Linked DNA regions of Oreochromis niloticus. The protein of the gene in region 2 interacts with the protein of the main gene of each other region in a pairwise test. Links are inferred from orthologs where the notes say so. Each region holds a gene or a part of one and is shown on either strand. Other genes may lie near its edges. The genes, in order: grap2b and garem.

Region 1 (11,267 bases), on a different chromosome or scaffold from region 2:
AGCATGACAAAAGATAACCATCACATACTAAAACAGAGCAATGGACTGCAAAGTTAAGTGATTTACCACCATGAGGCAAATAAAGGGTCCAATATTTTATCAGCCTCTTTTTATAAGAGCCCACTCATCATCCAAATCATCATTCATCACATTAAACTTCATTCATTTTAAAGGAGTCAATTCTTTTATGAAGATTTATGATGTTTAAATTGTAACAACAGGCTCCGATGTGCCATTTTTTTTTATTTTAAGTATGCATTAGAGATACTACCACGATTATTTCTGTCATGTACAAGTTTCACTTAAGGGAATGGGAACTGTCAACAATATGAATGTAAGAAGGAATTTTGTTGTGCTGAGACTCATTGATGGCCGCGATGTTTTTAAATCCTGGTGGGACTCTTTTTGTTTTCAGGGTTTTTTTTAGATTTCCAAGAAAACTGCTCATCAAAGCACTCAAAATCTTCCCTTTCTTCCTCACTCTCTTCCCTCCTCCTCGCACTTGGACACACATGGGGGAGAAGCCGAGTAGAGTTAAGCGAGGTAAACTGAATGAAATGTGATGTGTGCTCACAGAATATTTATCATACATCTCCGTCTCTCTGTCAAATACATTTATCTCTTCCTCTTCTAGGTGCGCTCACTCAGTCACCCTCCAGATTCTGAAGTACCTCAACACCTAAAAGATGCGACTGTCACCAAGCACGAATGCACACAGACACACACACACAGTCACGGACATCATGCAGAGTTAACAGGCCCATTAATGCTGAATGGCAGCTCTGCATTGAGCCATGTACAAGTCCTTTCCATCTTTGAAAACAGAGCTTTATGAGCTCTGTCATGAAACTAGATGGGATATTTCATGGCCCAGGCCATTAAATGCAGTCAACAGTGTGTCGCACACACAAACAAATACGTACACATGCAGGCACACACACACCCACACAAACACAATGCCTTATTACACCTGTACCCCCTTTGTTTTTCTTGATCCTGCATAATAAGCTGCAAAACAACAGATCCATGTACAGCTGCAGGTCACCTTGGAAACAGCTACCAAATGATTCTTTTAGCATTATAAAAATAAATAAATAAAAAATCATGCACATAAGCATCTGCAAGGTTGCATGGAGTCCATTTATCGGCCCCCTCATGGTAGGAATGCCGATTGTTTAGGCGCTGCTTCTTTTTTTTTCAGTTTTTTAAAATCACATTTTCTTTCAGCCTAGACGCAGGATGAAATGCCCGGCTAACACCACATGGGGATCTGAGCATCCATGGCAGGCCAACCACTGAGACCGACTGTGAATATCAGAGTGAGAGACAGAGACAGGAAAACCAACAGTGTGTTGGTGGTGGCAGAATCTGCTTGCTTTGGCCCCAGCTGCATTTCCATATGTACTCTACTTCAGCACTTCCTTTCTGTTAGGCTATCTGTACCGTCTGCCCTTTCTTTGTAGCATACCAAGTGCTTTTAGCTACAAGTCACACTATACACTCACACAGTGCTGCAACCACTTTATCTACCTCACATCCATGGCCAATTTACAATCACCAATTAACCTAAAATGGACATCTCTGGACAGTGAGGAAGCCAGAGTACCCAGAGGAAACAAATGTAGGCTGAGGAGAACGTGCAAAATCCAACGGAAAGGCCTCAGCTGGGATTTGAACCAGGAGTCTTCTTGCTATGAGGCAATTGTGCTAACCATGCATACTGTGCACTCATTTTTGCATCAAGTCACCATTTCTCAGGGCACCCTGTGACCTCTGTATGACCTCTGCTTCTTATGCGGACCATATATTGATCTCTTTGTTTCACTCTTTCAGTGTTTGGAGATTTGACCCTTTAAAGGGCAGAAGGCACCTGTCTCTGCAGGAGCCTGGGCTAATGTGTTGACATCACAAACCGTTCTCGTGATATTGTTAAGAATTCCCTTGAACTCTGTCACCACTTTTGGATTGAACAGTTTCACAGTTTTAGTTTCAGGTTCGTTTTAATCAATAGTTTCTATTGATTTGACCCACACTAGTGGCTCAAAAACACCTGAATGGATAAATAAGCCATTTATTCAGGCTAATGTAAAAAAAAAACAGCCAGAGGTTGTAAAAGTAGAAATCACCTGTACAAGACTATTTATGTTTAAATGTATCCATTTTGGTGTATTTTTGGTCACTTCAAGCTAAAAAAAAAAAGAAGAAGAAAAGCTTTAAAATTGGCAGCACGGTGGTTAGCACTGTTACCTCGCAGCAAGAAGGCCCTGACTTCACTTCCATCACCAGGCTGGAGATTTTTCTGTGTGGAGTTTGCATGTTCTTTCCAGGTACTCTGGCTTCCTCCAGCATTGGAAAGACAAGGAGTTAGTAGGAATAGGTTAACTGGAAACTCTAAATTGCCCGTGGGCGTGAATGGTTGTCTGTGTCTATGTGTTAGCCCTGTGACAGACTGGCGAACTGTCCAGGGTGTCCCCTGCCTCTCACCGTGAAACAGCTGAGATTGGCTCAGCTCACATATACCTGGAACAATCAGCACAAAAAACAGTACAGATGTGGTTCCCATTTGAAGCATTCTGATGACTTTTAGTGCAAAGTTCTTTTCTTTTCCCCAGCTTTTCCAATGAGTGCATTTCAGAGCTCCTAGCAGCAGCATGAACTGATTTGGTAGCATCAGTCCTTTTTATTCTCTGATTCTTTGGCTCTGTCTTGTAGTTATTTGACATTTTATTGTCATTTCTATCAGACAACACGGTGGTGCCCTTTAAAAGGACAGAGACAAATCACTGCATCCATCAGTGCAGCGATTTCATGCCACTTGAGTTTGGCATCTTTGCTCTCACCAGCCGATCCAAGCGAATCAAAAGGTGGCCAGATAGCATCACAAGAGATATAATAGCAGCAGAACAGTGAGTGCCCCAGTGCTAAAGCACAGATTTTGTGCTACAAGCATGCAAATGAAAAAGCTCAGCAATCAGGGTGAATTGTATCCATATCTGTGACATCATACACCTGAAAACTATTCAGAATTTAACCTAATCTGTGCCTAAGAAAGATACTGACATGTCACTGGCTTGTTATTTATTGACACAAATTTTCTCCTCCTACCTGATCCTACTCTCCTCTCATTCTTCCGTATATGCAGTTATAAATAAATAACACAATATATTTTAGATAAATTATTTGGCTTGAAGTGAAAATCGGTAAATTGGGAGGCCTCTCTTGCCAACAAATTGAATATTTTCTCATATTCTTATTACCTAAAATCAAATGAAACCCAAATAAGCACAAAAATGATCTGGTTCATGATCTGCAGTGTCACTTTGTGTTTCTCTGAGTTTGTGTCTATAATGGTCTTTACTGACTTGAAAAACATCTCAACCTTTTTTCCCTGAAGTCTGCTGCCACCATGTGGCAAACACAGAGCAACACTCAGTCTTTACATTTTGCAAACACATCCACTTCAGATGTCGAACAAGACCAAGTACAAAATTCCTATTTTGCCATAGTATGGTCATCTCAGGCACACAGTCCTGGCTTAAAGGAAGGGTGATTTTAAAGAAAAGGAGAGGATAAACTAATTGGCTTTACCAAAGCCCACCATTTGGTAAAAGAGTTATTTGAAACTATGAATCATGCAAAGCTTCTATAGTTGGTTCTTGTGACTGACTGGTAGATTCTTAGCAAAATATCTAATTTTTTCGACAGCAGGACTTACGGCTTCACATTTTCAACATATGTCCCCACTTCAGGAAGCAGAGGGAAGAGTGAGGCAGAAAGGATTTTCCCAAAATTGAAAATTGTGGAAGTGGAGGCAGACAGAGCGGTCAGCAGATGAGGTGGAGGAAGGACTGATTTAAGAACAAGGCGCTGGAAGCTCAGAGGAAGACATACCAGCTTCTGAGGAGCCATGGACAATGTGATGGCACCCACCATCACATTGCATAATGGATGGAAAAATAGGAAAAACAATGTAATTTAGGCCTCTGAAGTTTTGCATAAGGAAAAAAATGTCAGAGCACACAAACCAGAGCATGGTGCTCATCCCTGATGGCAGCACTAAAAATGAAAACATTCTGGAGCATATATGTTCACACCATGACTCAGATAACCAAGATATCCCAGTTATACCCAAATCATTCTTCAAGATTAGGTAGCCCATTAAGGTAACAAATGGTCATGATGTCCCTAATAAGCTAGAAAGAATAAAGCCTCCTGTCAGCTATGTAAAGAGTGGTCATTGTTTGCAGACACAAATAAAATGCAGGGGACAAAGGCGAACATTTGATGCAGGAATGATGAAAGGAAAATACAGTCTAATGATAGAAAGCAAAAGACCAGGACCCACAAGGAATAATTCCACCAAGAGGGGAAACACTAGGAACACACAGCAAAACGATGACTCAAAGGACAAGGGGACATGAAGGCAGTAAATATAAATGATAATAAGGCCAGGGATAACAAGACAAGGGAATATAAAGCACAGGTGACAAAACACTACCAACGTAAAACAGGAAGTGACTAAACAGAGATGACAAATTCAAACATACAAACCTGACACGGCGGGGCACAGGGGGAAACTAGGACAAACAACAACAGACTGTACAAACATGCCAAACAAGAATAAACAATGAACATTAAAGAATAATAAAGGATCTTCAATTATTGCACTTGTCACTCAGTTATTCCTCAGAGCTCACGTCTCCTGCCAAGTTCATTTTTATAGCATTGTCACCTGGGAAACAAAATTATTTCACATGTAAATAAAGTTAAACACATGCATGCTGTTTGTGAGAGCATCGGCTGCACCACAGCAGAAGCTCCAGCTGTGGGAAAAAGTTCAAACCGCAGTTCACCTGCTGGAGAAATGTTTAATAGGTCATCGTTACATCAGTGGAAAAGTTCACAGAAGCTAAACTTCCCCTGTTGAGTTTGAAGCTGAGGTGGACTGATGAAATGTCAGTGCCTCTGTGGCTTTCTTTGATATACTAATATTGTTGATACAGTTCGATGTGCTACGGCAAAGTCTGCAATTAGTGATGTTTTTTCTTCTCTGATTGGTTAAGCATTTGATTTTCTTCTGCAAATCCCCGTCCTTTCCATTTGCAGCTTTGCCAGATTGAAGTCAATGCTTTCATCTCTTTGTAGTGTTTCTCTGTGAGGACTGTGTATTTAGCAAATAGCTCTTGGCCAACAATCAACCACAATAATAAAAGCACCGGCAGATGAAGTGAATATTTCTGATCATCTTTTGAAGGACATAGTTCTGCGGGGAAACCCTAACATTCATGTGGATGTTAGTTTAACAAGCACTGCCTACCTCAGCAATGCAGCCAAACAGCACACCTTCACGGGCATTCCCCAGTCACAGGAGAATGCACCCTACCAGGAAAACAAAAGTTAAAATCCAAGGATGTCCATTCATCTATCCAGCCTAACCACTGTATACTCTGTATATCTTCTAATTTGCATTCTAAGATATTAACAACTTTTAGATCATGCTGTCAGGGGGCTGTCCAGTCTGTCATGTGTTTCGTGTGTGTGTCCACGTTGTCAAGCTTGTGTGTCATGTCTACGTTCCATTATGTTTCCTGTTATATTTTGAAAGTCTTGTGTTCCCATGGTCAGTGTGTTTAGTTTTGCTTCCCTTGTGGTGTCATGTTCATTTGTGTCAGCTGTGTTTCCCCAGGTGTTTCCACTCCCCTCATTATCCTTCTCATTATATCATATCTTTATCATTATCCTTATGTGTATTTTAGTCCTCTGTCTTCCTCCGTTCAGAGTTGGTCTGTCTGTTTACCTTGTGTCAGGTCGGGCCTCAGAGTTTTTCACGCAACTGTTCTTCACATTCATGTCTTGTATGTACCTGTTCAGTTCCATGTTCATGTCTCTCGTCATTGTTTTCATAGTTAGTTTAGTTATTTCACACTTTAGGTCTTCTTGTCCCTTTGTTTTGCAGTCAGCCTAATAAAGGCTCGCTTTTTGTTTAAACCTCTGTTCTTCTCTCACATATCTGCATTTGGGTCCACACCGCAAACACACCGGCCCACCGAGCTGTAACACATACTAATATTAAGCATGTTGGGGTTTTGTTATTTGGGTTACATGTGCTGGAAGACTGAGTCAACTGAGTACCAGAGTTTCTTCTCAATCAAATACAATTCAAAAATGCATTAAAGAGCTCTGTCTGTTAAAAAGCATTTTTAAAGCAAACTATTCTGCATGCTAGGTGAAAAAAATGTGACAATTAATGTGACAGAAAAACCATTTTAATGTGACGGGGTACTAATGGGGGAATTTACCACTTAGACAGTCTGACCATTAGGGATTTTACAGGCTGAGGAAAAAAGGGGAAAAATACATAGTTTCAAGATAATGCCAAAATACGCTTGATCAGAAATTCCATACAAACACCACAAACTAAAGCACTTCCTCTGAGGTGAGTAAAGACCTTGAATGAGGCTTACTAGGGCAACAGGGACCATAGAAAGGGGATTTGGCACATGCACACAACACAAACTAAAACTGAGCACCAAAGTGTCGCATAATAAAGGTCAAGCTATTACTGGTCAACAACAGCCAGTCCTGTTCAGCGAAGAGGAAAAATAAAAAGGTGTAAAATTACTGTCAGCTGGATTTAGTTAATGGCAGCTTGGCTTAATATTCATGACAATCAGCTATCATGATGAAAGCAACAAAAACACTTGAACTTCAACCAATTTACAAGCTTGTTGGGGCCCTAACAAAACATCTGCAGGGGGCCTCCAACCAGCATTGGTTGGTCCAACCATTGTTTATTGTAGAGGCTAAGTCTACGCTTGAAGTCATTGAGGTGTTCAGTGAGCAGGTTTGGCGTGATGCCACTGTTATGAATGAAAACCTGCAGTACTGATAAAATCCAATAACTCCAGCGTTGCTTATCCTGTCAGCTTAAGCATGTATTGCTCAACATTGATTGCCTTTGCCATTCCACAGTTCATCTTAATATTCAACATAAATCACAACAGCACAGCGGTCACAAGCTGTTTGGTCCCTCCAAACAACAACACCCTAATTAAATCTTCCTACTTTTAATAAGATAAGATAAGATAAGATAACCTTTATTAGTCCCACACGTGGGAAATTTGTTTTGTCACAGCAGGGAGTGGACAGTGCAAAAGTTATGAAGCAAAAATTAGAATAAAATAAAATAAGAATAAATACAGTACACAACTGTACAGAATAGAATAAAATAAAATACTATATACAGTAGAATAAAATAGAATAAAATATACAATAAGATAAAAATAGAATACAAATGCTTTATACAACTGAGTAAAAAATACAACGATGCCAGGAAGATTATTGCACTTAGTGTTATTGCACATGTGTGTGTTTGATCAGTTAAAGTCTTTGTTGTGGAGTCTGACAGCAGTGGGGAGGAAAGACCTGCGAAATCTCTCCGTCCCGCACCGTGGGTGCCGCAGTCTCCCACTGAAGGAGCTGCTCAGTGCTGTCACAGTCTCATGCATGGGGTGGGAGATGTTGTCCAACAGGGATGACAGCTTAGCCGCCATTCTCCTGTCACTCACCACCTGTCATTTACAAACACAACAAGTAACACATAGCGACACACATAAGGTAATAAACAGAACATGTATAAAACACACATATACAAACATATTATAAATAGAGTTGTTTTTTTTTTGTTTTTTTTCTTTAATATTTAGTTTGGGTTTCCAAGTACAGCAATAAAGCTGCCTTCTTAAGTTAATTCCCTAGTCTCCTCTAAAAGTGCCACTAACCCATCCTCTCCTATCTGGCAGTCCTCAGGTGCTCCACTGCTTGATCCCTGTCTTGCAAACACGTATCCAAGCTATACTAAGCTACTTGCCTGCCTTGTCTGGTGGAAAACCTCTGACACAAGAAACACAGAGAATGCACAAAATAAACTTGGCACATAATGACAAGCTGTGGGAAGGGAGGGTTTTTGTAGATCCAAGAAGCAGTTTATTACTGTGGCCAGCAGCAATGGCCACATTAAAAAAAATCAAAGCTGGTATTGTGCAAATTTCAAGTATAACCAAACAAAACTAACTCTGTATAATGAAGCAACCTGTGAAACCAGAGGGAGAAAAGAGTGACAAAGCAACACTAGCCAAAGAAAGACAAAATACACATGAAATACTTCAGTTTGCCAGAGAGCACAAAAGTATTTCAGGTGAAAGACAAATGTGCTTAAAATGTCTTGGGTGCAACCACAAGCCAGTCATAGTATGTCGGTAAACACACGTGTAACAACACCTCAGGCAGTTGTGACAGACAGAGACTTAAAAAACCTTTATCACAGCTTTGTTTTTCTTTGATTTGTTTGGTAAATAGACTTTAGTCAACATGATTTACAGTTACATATAAAATAATGACCTAAACATTTTACCTATATTATAATAAATCCAGTCGATTTTGACTGTTTGCAATAACTTTATAGAACTATAATATTTTCTTCTGCTGCGTTTTTTTTTTTTTGTTTGTTTTCCCTGATCTCTTTGCCAACAGATAAACAGATGCATAGAAAGGCTCCTATCTGTTTCTATGCATCTCTGCACTGTGTCTATTTCAGTGCATGTGAGTGTATGCTGGCCAGAGGTGACGGTGTTTCCTGTGAACTGACAAGGAGTTCGTCACCTCTCTTTGTAAATTTCTCACTTCTCTTCGTAAGCCGCATGAACGCAGCTCTGTCTGGAGAACAGTACAAAGGGGGGTGAGTAAACCTAACATTTTTGCCTCTTTGATGAGGTACTTGGCAAGTCGTCATTTTGAGTTATGGCTAGCTGCCCTCCTGTTTTCCGAGCAGCCGCATTGCTCCTGGTTCTCTGAAGACACAATGCGCAGCCCTTCAAATAAAACTGTTTTGTGTGTGTGTGTGTGTGTGTGTGGACAAAATTCAAGGTGAGAAAATATGCTTTACGGGCGCTTAAAGGATTTTGTTGTAGAGGTGCTAACACAGGTTGTAGTCGTAAAGGATGCACGGAAAGGACGTAGCGACTGTCCTTGATTGAGTGGGGAATTATTCCGTCCATTAAGATACTAGAAGAGCACCAACTGATGTCAGTGCCATGTTTCTTTTGATGGGTGACTTACACACGTCTGTTTTCCCGGCTCATTAATCACTTCAGTATTTTTATCTGAGCACACAGGAGTACTTCTAACCTTTTGTTTCTTCATCCCTTCTTAGGTTTGTCTACGATGGAAGCTACGGCCAAGTTTGACTTTGAAGCTAATGCGGAGGATGACCTGAGCTTCAAAAGAGGAGACTGCTTGAAAGTAAGGATCACACACAGACATGCAAACACTTCCTTGGTTTGCTTTTAGCAACAGCACTCTTCACACAAGTTATAAAAAGTTGTCAGCATGCAAAAACATTCAAATGTCAGGTTTTATATATATATATTGCATATAATCCAGAGTATTTCCATGTATATTAGTGCTTTATCACACTTGTACAACAATGGTGCACTGTACTATTCTCTGAAGCCCTCTTCAGTTCTCTGTGCAGCCAACCACGACTGCATCCTGCTGCTTAAGTCCGAGTTTCCTTCCTGTTTACGTTGCCATTGCAACAAAATCTTTATATCTTCTTGACAGAATCAAAAAGTAAAATCATATAGCAGAGGTGAACGCACAAATAACATCAAACTACCAGACAAACAGATACAATAATTCTTGACTCACCTTTCACACATTGCTTTTGTTAGCTAAGCACCTTGCTGAAGCATTAGTTCAAGTATATACAGCTGCAACCTTAATCTAGGTGCTTTATTGTTATGATATGTTTCAAACCATGTGAACAATGGAAAAACATGTTCCGGTGTAAACCTCTCAGAAAAGCTGTTAAAAGTGAGGTCTCCTGTAAAAAGGTGTTGGCTTTTGTAACCCGCTGCAGGCCGAGCCAGTTTTATTTCTGCACTGCAGCATGTAGCGCAGGTACATCCACTGCACCCGGCATTAAAACACTTCCATCGGTGTATTGGTGTATAGCATGTGGACATACACAAAAGGTATACAAGGAAATGGATCAGCAAATAACTTTACAAACACCCACAGCTATCTCACACAGTCAAACCACAAACACACACACGACTAATCATAACTGAGTGAAAAAATATTCTCAGTTTCCACAGTCTAGGTCATCTGGTACTTTGGCCTAGTAAATGGCTTAAAAGGACCCATCTATATCTATATGTTTATATCTATATCTCTAGATATAGATATAGATATAAAAACTACTACACAGCTTACTGGAACACTTGAACATCACAGTAAAACACAAAGTCTCTACATAATCATGCATCTTCAGGGAAACTTAAAACACTGTTAGTACAAGCGACAGTGACAACCAATACACTTGGAGAAGTAACAAGAGAACCCCAAAGAAAATGGTTTTGCAGGCGATTTCTCCGTAGCTCCCCTGAATTTTCCTTGAGTTTTGCTTTTTTATTAGTTTCCTTGTCACTGCTGGTAGCACCAGACAATACCTGCAGCCCATTCAGGTTGTACATGTAGTCTGACTCGTACAGGAGGGAAGTGTTGCTGTGTCTTCCAGCACAGTCTCAGGAGTGTAGGAGGAGATACAAGGAGACAGGCTGTTACACGGGGACAGTGTTGGTCAAGTTACTTGACAAAAGTAATTAGTTACTAATTACTGATTACTTGTCCAAGAAAGTAATCCTGTTACTTTAATGATTACTTATTTCCCAAAGTAATTAGTTACTTTATTACTGAGTTACTTTTTAAAAACATGACACCTCAATATGTAATAAAGTAATAGATCTTTCAGCCCAATTCTATTTTTTCTGCATAATCCATCATATAAAATTGAATCAAATGAATGCAACAGTCTTTGACTTGAAGAAATTAATTTAAAATTTAAACCTATTTTCTGCATATTCCAGCATATAAGATAAAATAATTTGTTGTGTTTACACTCACTCTTTCAAATATATGCAAGTAAAACACAAAAATGAATAAAATCAAAGATTCAGCGACAATAAGTCCTGTTGCTCTTAAATCTATTTTCACCTGTTTAGCAGGAGTGGGGCGGGTGGACGTTTGCCTGATGCTGCAGCTGTTGTGTCAGTGGGGGGATCCAGGGGTTTCTCTGTGAGTTTCACACACCCGTGGCAGCGTGCTAGGTGCTTGCTCAGATTTGAAGTTAAATTTTTTTGCTGTAGAAAGTTTTCTACAGTTTTTTTCCCACGCAGAGTGAACAGCGGACGCTAATGTTTTTGTCA
Region 2 (11,267 bases):
CCACATAAACAAATGCAAAGATATAGACTTAAAATTTTTGACTATAAGTCATTTAAATAATGTACATAAGTGGAAAATGTAACATTTTAAGCATTTATAATCAGCTATTGTAATCATCATATTTGGACTTGGTATATCAAAAGAAGTGGCACATTTTATCACCAAAGCAGACAACTTTTGAAAAATTGTTAATCAGTGTTTTATAAGCTTTTATAACAGATTAGTAAACCTGGCCATAAATCACTGGCTATTTGCAGGAACTTCTTCCACAAAGGATGCAGGGAATATACCAGTATTCCCGTTACACTGCCCTTCCAACCAGTCTTGGTTAACTGAAGATGAACAAATCGTGAATTAGAATCATATATTCCATCAAATTGTTTATGTATGTTTGACGTATAAAAGAATGAAGCCTCACTTTTAGAGAGCAGTTTGATTTTATCCCCTTGCTGAAAACTCAGATCTTCGGGATTTGACGACTCGTAGGAGTGAAGTGCCACCAGGTGAACCTCCTCCTGAAATCCGAAAACATCCACAATGGTTATCAGTGTAAACGGAAATTATAACAGGAGTGCAAAAACAAAAAGATACTAAAAGTACTTCAGTATCGCTAATACTGGGAATATTTTACTTACTACTTATTGCCGTTGTTACTGTAACAACAGCAATAACATGGCAATAGATGGTTGCTCTCTTACCTCCTTGGTGTTACACCACAAAGTGACACGCCCACTGCTGGCACGGCTCCACAGCTTCTCCATTTCTGTGTTGGCACTGATTACACTTTGTTCACTTGCCTCAGAGGTTAAACTAAACCCAGTAAAGGTATTCAGTTGTAAGTACAAACAATGCATACCAAACATTCTTGTTTTCTTAATGATGTGCTCTACCTCAAGGTGACTGCAGAAGAAGGAAGATTCAGTTTCCTGCTGATTTTCTCAATCAGCATTGTGTAGGGTGACCCAGACGGGACTGAGACGACAAAGTTGAAATTGAAATGCACTTTGACGATACATGAATTGTCTGTGGACTGTTTCTCCTGGAAATGATGAGAGGAAATAAAAGAACTTAAAATAACAGCCAGAATTAAACATCTCAGTACTTCTCATTTTCTTTGCTTTGGCATACCTGACGCTGACGATTTCCACTAGTGGCTTCTCTTGGCGTAAGACCTTACATAAAGAAAATGTGGAAAATTAGATTTTTCACATAAGGCTCAGATATCATTGGAAAATCCTCATTTAATTTTTGTATCCTGTACCAGAAAAGCCTACCTTGTATCCTTTCAGGTCTGGTGGGTGGCTCTCGGCTTGGAGGTGGAGTTATTCCCTGTTTATAGTTGTTCCCATTCAAAATAAAGAAAAGTAAAGTCTGTGTTATTTTAAAAACTTGGAAAGAATGAAAGGAAAGCTTGGAAAGGAAACTACAATGTTTTAAGCACTGACATTACCAGAGTAATTGATTATGACACCAACAATTGAGAATAATGAAAAATAAATGCTTACCTTGTTTTTGTTAGAAGCTAAGGAGATTTCCAAACGTTCCAGATAGTTGTAAGGAACAAGGCCCTTCTGTGAAAGACATCACAGCCATGTATACTCTCAGCAGACAACAGCAATGCATTAATTGTGTGATAAAAGTACCTGATATGAATACTGGCTTCAGTGCATAAAAACAACACAATGTACTGGTGTTAAAATTTGTACAATAAGTTTCAGATGTGGAGATCTTACTCTTTCATTGAAGACCACATATGCCCAGTTGTCAGCACCCTTCTGCAACACAAACACAATATTGCCCGGCACTACAGCCAGCTCATCACTGGTCTCAGGAATAAACTCAAAGAGCACAGTGTGCGGATCTCCTTCCAAAGCCCTGTAAACACAAGAAATGTCCACATGGCATCAAGAGTGAATCCTCCCCTAGTTTTGCTGCAATAGGTGTAGGCTGCTGGGGGATTCCCATGATGCATTGAGTATTTCTTCTTCTCCCTTACTATGTCTTAATATACCTCTCTGCACTGAATCATACTTATTATGAATCTCTGGCTCTCTTCCACAGCATGTCTTTTATCCTGTCTTCCTTCTCTCACCCCAACCCTCCCTGAGCCTGGTTCTGCCAGAAATTTCTACCTGTTAAAAGGGAGTTTTTCCTTCCCACTGTCACCAGAGTGCTTGCTCATAGGGGGTCATATGATTGTTGGGTTTTTCTCTGTATGTATTATTGTAGGGTCTACCTTACAATATAAAGTGCCTTGAGGTGACTGTTGTTGTGATTTAGCTCTGTATACATAAAACTGAACTGAACTGATGTGAAATTGAAGAGACATAAGACACAAAGGTTAAAGTTGGCACTATTCTGTGTAACGGTACATTTCTATTTTCAGGTTTTAATTATTAGATCTACACTTTGAGTCACATTTTCTCTTTGTGGAAAGCAAAGTTTCATAGATATGACTCATGCTTTCCCCCATTTTGTATTTGTACTAAACATGTATAGTAGAGAATCCACATATCAAAAAAACTTGCCAACTATAACATCATTAAATACTAAGATCATTTCTGTTTAAAGAGTTTCAAATCTGCATGGATCCAAAGTGACTATCATACCTCAGAACCACAGGCTCTTTTGGACAAGTTGGACCATCTTCCACCTATCAAATAAAAAAAACACAGTCCATCAGAGACATGGCAACACACTGGAATATGTAAAGTTTCAATCTAACAGTAATTCTTAACATTGTAAAGGATTGCAGTGCTGCTCTATAATGCAGCACAAGTTCATTTCCATTTTGTTGATGTGGATCACTGGAAGCTTTTAAAACAGGCACCAAGGTAGCATATTTTAATATAAAGTAACAGAAGATAAGAACGCACTGCTGTTTCTGTCATCAAACTGTAAAGTTTTTATTGTCAATAAAAGCCAGTGTGTCACCTGAGGCTGCAATGGGGCAAATCCAGAGAACTCATCTTGAGGAACAACAGAGGCAACGACCTGATGATAAGAGGGGGGGAAAGTAGCTTATAGATATCACTCAACAATAAACTTATTGGTTTCTCTGAGTAATTTCAAATGTGTAAGTTCTGTATGTGTGTACATATATATATATAAAATGAGTGACTGACATTTTACCTAACATAATAAAATGTTGTGATGCTGACTTTTGATAGCTTTATAATCACACTAGATTAGATAGAACAGGCTGTATAACAGATCACCTTTGCTTTGCCCAGGTAGTCTTTCTTCTCCAGCTCTGCAACATAGTGCTTATTTGGTTTGAACATCTCTTTTGATTGGAACTCGACCAGTTTGAAAAGTTTCTGTTTCTGTTGGTGAAATTTCATTGTGAGTGAAACTTAAAATATTTGCCGGTGGTTAATACAGCAGTCGTGCATATCAATATCCACCTGACTTAAAGCAAAATTAGAATAAAGCATATTAGCTTACCAAATATAGGTTAATGGAATGAAGAAAAACTACTACATTTGATATCATACATGTAATCACATTTAAATGGGTTCACAAAAGTGATTGTATCACAACTGACTAGGATTGACTGCAGAGCTTTGTCGATGATATTAAACCTGGCCTCTGTCTTGTAGTCAAGAGCCTTCATGAGGTACTCCTGGGCCTTTTCCCATCTACCCAACTGAGCTTCAACCAGGGCCATATTGTGGAGAACCTGTGGAGACATTGTTAAGCTTGTGTCCTTGGCCAGGAAAAAAAACGAATGCTAAGTTGTATTATGAATGAACAGCTCATAACATCAAATGAATTATTTGGATGTAGTGTTCAGGATTAATAATAGGGCGGGTTATCAAGAATACTCACATCACAAGCATATAGTATGTATCTGAGACCAAGCGCTTTGTAATCTATTAGCTGGTTGCCCCTGAGTGTTTTAAAGGTTTTCTGGAAGTCAGCTAAACTCTCCTCATACCTTTACATAGAGACATAGAGACAAAAGTTAAAACATTTGCATATGATATACTATGAAGCATTTTTAAATAACGTCATTAAACTTAAAAAATAATATGGTCCCTTTTTTTAAAAAAAAAAAAGGAAAAAGGCAGGTGTGTCTTGCCTCTTCTTTTTGTAAAAAGTGATTCCTCTTTGAAAGAAGGCGATGGCCAAATGTTCATCCTTGCGTATGCTGCAATCAAACGCCTGAGAAACAGAAAAAAACAGTCACTTCCTCTAGAAAACATGGTAAGATCTACTTCTCCTTTCTCAGTGACTTGCGCTTTCACACAGCATATCAGAGAATTTTATTTCAGCTACTTTCAAAAGAGTTTCTTGTTTGGACTAATGTGCTGATACGACAGCTGTTAATATTTGTGTGTTTATGCTTCAGCCTGCAGATCAGACATACCTTTTCAGCAGCATCGAAGTCTTGGTTAAGAAGATGGAGACAGCCAATGTCAAAAAAAATTTTGGAGTTTGGTTCTTGAATAGCCAAGAAAATCTCAAGTGCTTTGGAGAAATCTTGTCTGTTGACGCAAGTTACCGCCTCATCCCAGTGGCGCAGAGTGTCTACAAAAGACATGTTGGCAGGTTAGGAGTACACTGAGCTACAGACCACAGTAAGGAAGTTCCTCTGATTTGTACCACTGAGAAGAGGAAGTGTGATGAAAGTCATTGTTGGTGTATATATAAATATCACATTACCACCAGGTCTTAAAGCTAAAGGGTTGTCCCTTTTTTCCCAATGTGATGTTCTGTCATCTACATGACAATTCATTATTTGTGTGTGGTATTTAAATAAAGCTAATCTGATTTTGTTATACGTTCCCATCACCACATATGTCATGCGTGTGATGTTTAGCCATAGATTTCCAGGAATGTTGACGGACAGGGTGTAGGGAATGTGATTACACAAGAACAACTTAATGATGTGTCAGTAAACAAGGATAAGATAAGAAGAAAGACTGAAAGTAATAGGGTTTTTTATTTATTTGTTTATTTATTTATTTATTGAATCACGATTTACAGCAGGTAAAAACACTTCGAAACAGGCAGTCGGTATTCTTTTTTGTTGTCTTTTAGTTATCAGAAACAGTGCAAGTGCACAAACTACAACTTCCGGCTTAAAGTTTTTAAAAACGATAGTGACCTACTAGTACAAGCTTTGCACTCTAGCACAGCTTTATTAATTCACTTGTATTGTAAATGAAATCAGTTATATTGGTGGGGTTTTTTTCTGTTGTTTACCAAAGTATGTATTCCTTACCTTCAGAAGAAAACTATTCCAGCTTCCTTGCTGTGTGGTTGGTTCTCTACCGCCTGAGCCCACCTACGCTGACTGTCTCCACCAATCACAGCAGAGCGACTTGCGCGCTGCCTCCCTCCGGCTGATCCAAACTAGCACTGGCCCCATCGGTAGTTAAACAAACATGGGTCTGCTACATTATCAGACAACGACTCTTTATGATACGTAGGCAAATTTAAAGGAAAAAATGCGAAGATTATTAAGAAACATGCCATGCGTGATATGACACCGTGGACGGAGAGTCGCTATATTATTTAGTGCGTTAGCTTAGTGTAGCCTTTTGTGACCGTGTTTACACGTAGCTAGCTCTTGTTGGCTAATGTAAGCTAGCAAAATGGACCTTGGATCAATGTTGTACAACAATTTAAAAGAAGTTACATGGAGTACCACGTCCTTACCATTAGATCAACTTGTCAGTGCTTATAAGTTGCCTCAAATTGTCAAGCTGGATAACGGCAAGTAACTTTACTTTTTCACGCCATCAGGGCAGCGCTTGTTAGCTGCTAGCTAGCAGCAAAGGCAAACTTAAGCCTGAAACATAAATCTTTGCGATTGAGTTTAGCCGTGTGACTTACCGTTTCTCAACAGTGTGGTCTAGTTTACATTACAAAATAAGCGTTTTCTTATTCTCGTTTTTTGGTTTATTTTTGGTAATGCCTTTGCATCCGTTGTGCAGATCTCACCTTTTTTGGTATTAAACGTGCAAACCCTATAGTCATTTCTGTAATGAAGTTATTCTAAGTTATTTCAGGTTTTGTAAAAACTATATTGCAACGACTGATGAGTTGTACCACATACTGTCTAGCTCCACCATTGGAAAGCCACATTTTTTAATATACATGTATTGTTGCAGGCTGAGTCGCAATGCCAATCTTATAACTAAATCGTAACCTAGTTGCTCTGTTTAAGCTGAGAAGCATCATTGTCTTCATTCTGGTTACAAAAAAGACAAGTATTTATTTATTTGTTTTTAAGAATTAAGACATGATAATGTTATGGTGCTGTGCAAAAGTATTTAGCCACCACTCATTTCTTCATATTTTGCTTACAAATAGCCAGACTTTATTGCATTTTTTGAAGTGGTCTTGAGCAATAGTTCTCCAGGTTTTCTGAAGGTTTTTCAAAGTTTTTGTAGTTCCAGTATCTGACAGTTTTCTTCAAGGACAAAAAAAAGTACCTCATTTAAATGGAGCAGCCAGTCTTCTGTATACACTCTGATTCCCATTTATTTAGTTGAGTCCACTAAAAATACCAAATTAACCAAGAACTGGACTGAAAATCAGTAGCATCAGGTCTGATGGAGCAGTGAATGCAATTTAGAAATGTTTGGTTCAGAGCATTGTGAGTATGTACAGAGAAGGTCAGGAGTGACTAAAGCCACCTGTAAAATAGGGTGGAGGCTGCACTGCAGCAACTGGTGTAAAGAAATTACAAGAAAGCTGCTTTAGAGTTTAGGCTGTGTTAAAGAATAAAGGTGGTCAAATCAAATATTTACTTTCAATTTTGTTAGAGTTGTACAAACTCTGCATTTGCGTATAGCCTGTATTTCCATGTATGTTTTCACATGTTGCAGCCATTTCCCATTTTCCTATTAAAATAAAGAAATGAGTGGGGGCTCAAGAATTTTACACAGTACTGTTACTATACCTCTAACTAAACTATATGTTAATACAATCCTGGGTCTGAACTTGTATCTTAATCAGAATCAGAATACTTCAATAATTCTGATTCTGATACAGACCTGGGTCTGAAAGTGTATATTTAAAACTACTTTATCCTCAGTTATGCCTGAAAATAAACATGCTCACTGTGCCCTGCACTTTGAGATCATTAATAATTTGAATAATTTTCTCCATCTTCCTGACACATGCTTGGCCTTTTATGGAGAACTAAAGTGGTGTATTGTACTTTGAATGATAGAGCATGCTTTTTAGAGAGGTATGGATTAGGCCATTAGTCATTGACTAATGGCCTAATCCATAGTGACTTTAAATGTGCTTGGTAATCCAATGCCTCAGTTTGAATAGAGCAGACTGTATGGCTAAAGAGTGGTATGAAAACAGAAACGGTAAAAGCAGTGTTTCTCCAAGTGATATTTAATTGAATGGCCTGTTCTCTGTAGTTATTAAGGTTCAATAGTTCTCTCATGACCCACATCCAAGACACCACCTGGTGAAAACATAGATATGAACATTTTTTGTTTTAGATGTTTTGTTGCTGGATGGTTCAGTGCTTACTTGGCGATTAATTTAAAGTTGTAATTATGCAAATTATGCTGTTTTCTGCTCTGTAAATAGTGTTTTGTTTTGTTTTTTTACTACCTGTAGGTCAGCTGGTTGAAGGGCTCAGAGACAATGACTACCTCTTGATTCATTCCTGTCGTCAGTGGACGACTATTACTGCTCACAGTCTGGAGGAGGGACATTATGTCATTGGGCCCAAAATAGAGATCCCAGTTCACTATGAAGGTGAGATGCAGCCACAGTCGATGTTTATTTAGTTTGTCTTGTAAATGGTAAATGGACTAATTCTTTTCTACTCTATCCGAGCACTGAAAGCGCTTTACAGTATTTATATGATATCCATTATCAGATATTAAATATGATATTTGATGATGCATCTTTGCCTAAACTGAAGAATTATTCACTAAAATATATAAGTCAAAAATAAATTATGTAATTTTATAGTTGTAAGTCTGTGTTGATGCAAAACGCGTGCAAAACACCATTGACATGTCTTTTCCATCTTTTCGTAGGTCAGTTCAAGTTGCTCGAGCAGGACAGAGATGTCAAAGAGCCTGTGCAGTACTACAACAGCGTGGAGGAAGTGGCCAAAGCGTTCCCTGAAAGGGTATATGTCATGGAGGAAATCATGTTCAATGTTAAGGTACATTTAATCCATCTATTTTTATGTGAGGTTTATGAATAAGGATATATAGCTATAATTCTAAACGCTTCCACCAAGAGTATTTCATAACTTTAGATTTCCAGTTAAAGTTTAAAATTTTCCAAGTTAAGTTTGGTAAAGTAGATTCATTTCATTGCGTATATCGAAATTCATGTATGTAATGTTTTCATAGATGGCTTCAGGGGAATGCAATGAAGACACAGAGGTTTACAACATTACACTAAACACTGGTGATGAACTGACGTTAATGGGCCAAGCTGAGATCCTTTACGCCAAAAGCTTCAAAGAAAAATCAAGATTCAACACCATTTTTAAGAAGATTGGAAAGCTGAACTCCATCAGTAAGATCGGTCGAGGCAAGATGCCTTGCTTGATTTGCATGAACCATCGCACCAATGAGAGCATCAGCCTGCCGTTCCAGTGCAAAGGCAGGTTCAGCACCTGCAGTCCACTTGAGCTTCAGATGCAAGACGGCGAGCACAACATCAGGAACATTGTGGAGAAAACTCGTCTCCCTGTCAATGTGACAGTACCCAGCACTCCACCCCGCAACCAGTATGACCTCCACCTTATTAGGGAGGGTCATCGGTACAAATTGGTCAACATTCAGACGAAAACAGTGGTTGTGTGCTGCATTCTGCGAAGCAATAAAATTATCCCTATCCATTTTCCGTTTCATATAGCCATGCCACGATTTATTGTTCCGGAAGAATTGCTGCAAGGAGAGTTGTGGTTAGATACTATGGTGCATCGCTGGTTTGCGTTCTGCCAGGAACAGTTTGATATCGATGACTATTCTCGTGCTGTCCGGGACGTACGAACAGACTGGAATGAAGATGGCAAAAGCCCCAAAAAAAGCAGTGGAAATGGTAGTTGTAGCAGTGGAGGAAGCGGGAGTTCAAGCGGCTGTCCCAATCATATGCAAATTCCCAGCTCTTTGACTTACGCCCGAGATGAACTCACCCAGTCCTTCCACCGACTGTCTGTGTGCGTGTATGGCAGCAACCTGCACGGTAACAGTGAGGTCAACTTGCAGGGTTGTATGACACTATGCGGAGATTGGGCTCTTATGGCTTCTGACAGTCATCCTTCAGAAGAGAATGAACACTTTTTCCCAGAGCTGTTGGACTGCACAAACCCACAACCAACCCTCAACAAGCTGGATGTTCCCTATGAGGAGCTGTGGTTGGATCACTTGAGAAGTCAGATTCCAAAAGCCTCTCAAAGCGAAGGAATCAGAGGCCTCAACAGTGACTGTGCCACAACAGCTGCACTGACAAACCCAGTCACTTGTCCTCTGGGTGCCATAACCAGCTCTGATGTGCCTCTTACTCCTCCACCAGTCCCACCAAAGTCTGAAGCTGTAAGTATAATCTATTGCACTCAAGAGTTTTCAGTCCTAGGATTGGAGTGTTAGTTGATTTGATGGCAAATACACTGACAACAAGTGTATTTTAATACTACAGCAAAAGCCAGCATGAGTAGCTGCTATGCAGTAAATTAATAAATAAAACTACTTGAAAACAACAAGTTTGATTGGCTGTTGCAGATAAAAAGCTGAACCTAAGGGTTCTTTGAAGAATGACTGTAATGTAAGAACGTAAGCTTTAGTTACTGTTTCAACATAAACTCTTTTCATCCTAGGTGAAGGAAGAATGTCGTCTTTTGAATGCGCCACCAATCCCACCACGAGGCCTGAAACAGATACCATCAGTGCCTGTCCTTTTGAAGCCACGGCAGCAAGAAACTCGGTCTCCAAGTCCAACCCTCTCCTATTATTCTTCTGGTCTCCACAACATGTAAGAATTTAAATTGTCACCCACATTCTCACAACAAATGCTGTGAGATATCAAGTTTTGTACCTTTCTATGTATACATGTATGAGGCTATTCTTATGCTATAAATTAATCTACTATTTTTCCATTAGCAGTGGAACATGTGAGCAAGAAGGAACTGACCCACAAGAGCAAAGCCACGTGTGCTACCCTTGCAGCTGGGCTAATTCCAGCAGCACTGAACCGAAGGCTGCTTCGCCCAGTGGTAGCTTGCCGTCAGATGGAGTTTCATCGCGGTTGTCTTGGCCAAATCATTTCAGTGGAGGGGATTCACATTGCATGGACGAGTTTCTGCCTACAACCTGTCGAAGTTACTACAGTTACCCCAGAAAGAGAACCCCAAGCACTCCAAAAACCTGTACAACCAGCCTTGTTGACTTTGATGGCCGAGAGTATGCACACCGCAGTAAGGACTTTGACTTGCCGAAAGCATCTCTGAGTCCTTTCTGCAACAAATCTTCAAGCTGCAATTCAGAAATGTACAGCGACAAGCTAATAGATGCATCTAACACCAAGCAGAGCCTCTCCTGCCCTATCCTGCCACCAAGAACACCAAAATCAAATGCCATAAAGAAGTGCACAGATGTACTGTCAGAGTCAGCCTGTGACAGTAAGCCGGAAACTTTATATTCCTCACTTGCTCAACATGAGCAGGGAACAAAAGAGATACACTCCATCTCTAACACTCCAACTGTTAACTCTCCATCCTTGTCTCACACTACACAGTGGCAGCCACCACCGAGCTTGGCTGGCCTTTCAATTGAAGAGGTCTCCAAATGTCTGAAATTTATTGGCCTGCCAGATGACATTGTTTCTCTTTTCGTGTCAGAAAAGATTGATGGGAATCTACTCCTGCAGCTCACCGAGGAGATTTTGTCTGAAGACTTCAAGCTAAGCAAACTGCAGGTGAAGAAACTCATGCAGTTCATAAATGGGTGGAGACCCAAGATATAACAGTATGTAACTTAAAAACTCCTGTAAAGCTGAGAACATCCTGCCTTCAGTTTGTATGCTATGCACATCAAGCCACAAAGAGTTTCTTTTTGTATAGTATGAACTTATTTCCTTGTTACTACATGGTGGGGAAGACAAGTGGGTAATACCCACTTAAAGTCTATGGCTCCTATTTGCTAACTGAATGGAATCATTTGGCACTTTCACAAAGACATTTACATGTCAATTGCTTACTTTTTCACCCACGACCTATTCATGTCACTACACAGATACTAATTTAAGCCAGGGAATTGAAAGAAATC

Evidence for each region.
Region 1: the proteins of garem (region 2) and grap2b interact in binary tests that used the Homo sapiens proteins (3 or more experiments, as listed by UniProt). The link is inferred for Oreochromis niloticus from reciprocal best matches to the Homo sapiens genes GAREM1 and GRAP2.

Annotation. Positions count from the first base shown.
Region 1 is NC_031971.2:8,430,074-8,441,340, forward strand, and holds the start of grap2b (GRB2-related adapter protein 2b), read left to right. Parts: upstream 1-5,747; 5' UTR 5,748-5,807; exon of another isoform or gene 5,808-5,855; intron 5,856-8,532; exon of another isoform or gene 8,533-8,596; 5' UTR 8,597-8,737; intron 8,738-8,780; exon of another isoform or gene 8,781-8,925; intron 8,926-8,934; exon of another isoform or gene 8,935-9,083; intron 9,084-9,211; 5' UTR 9,212-9,222; coding exon 9,223-9,300; intron 9,301-11,267. UniProt on the Homo sapiens protein: Interacts with SLP-76 to regulate NF-AT activation. Binds to tyrosine-phosphorylated shc.
Region 2 is NC_031974.2:25,537,051-25,548,317, forward strand, and holds the start of garem (GRB2-associated and regulator of MAPK protein 1), read left to right. Parts: upstream 1-5,321; 5' UTR 5,322-5,603; coding exon 5,604-5,724; intron 5,725-7,596; coding exon 7,597-7,737; intron 7,738-8,024; coding exon 8,025-8,155; intron 8,156-8,348; coding exon 8,349-9,539; intron 9,540-9,820; coding exon 9,821-9,975; intron 9,976-10,103; coding exon 10,104-10,965; 3' UTR 10,966-11,267. Other genes in the region: ncf2 (neutrophil cytosol factor 2), read right to left, coding at 241-332, 419-515, 699-810, 891-1,039, 1,129-1,172, 1,275-1,329, 1,506-1,571, 1,734-1,875 and 7 more.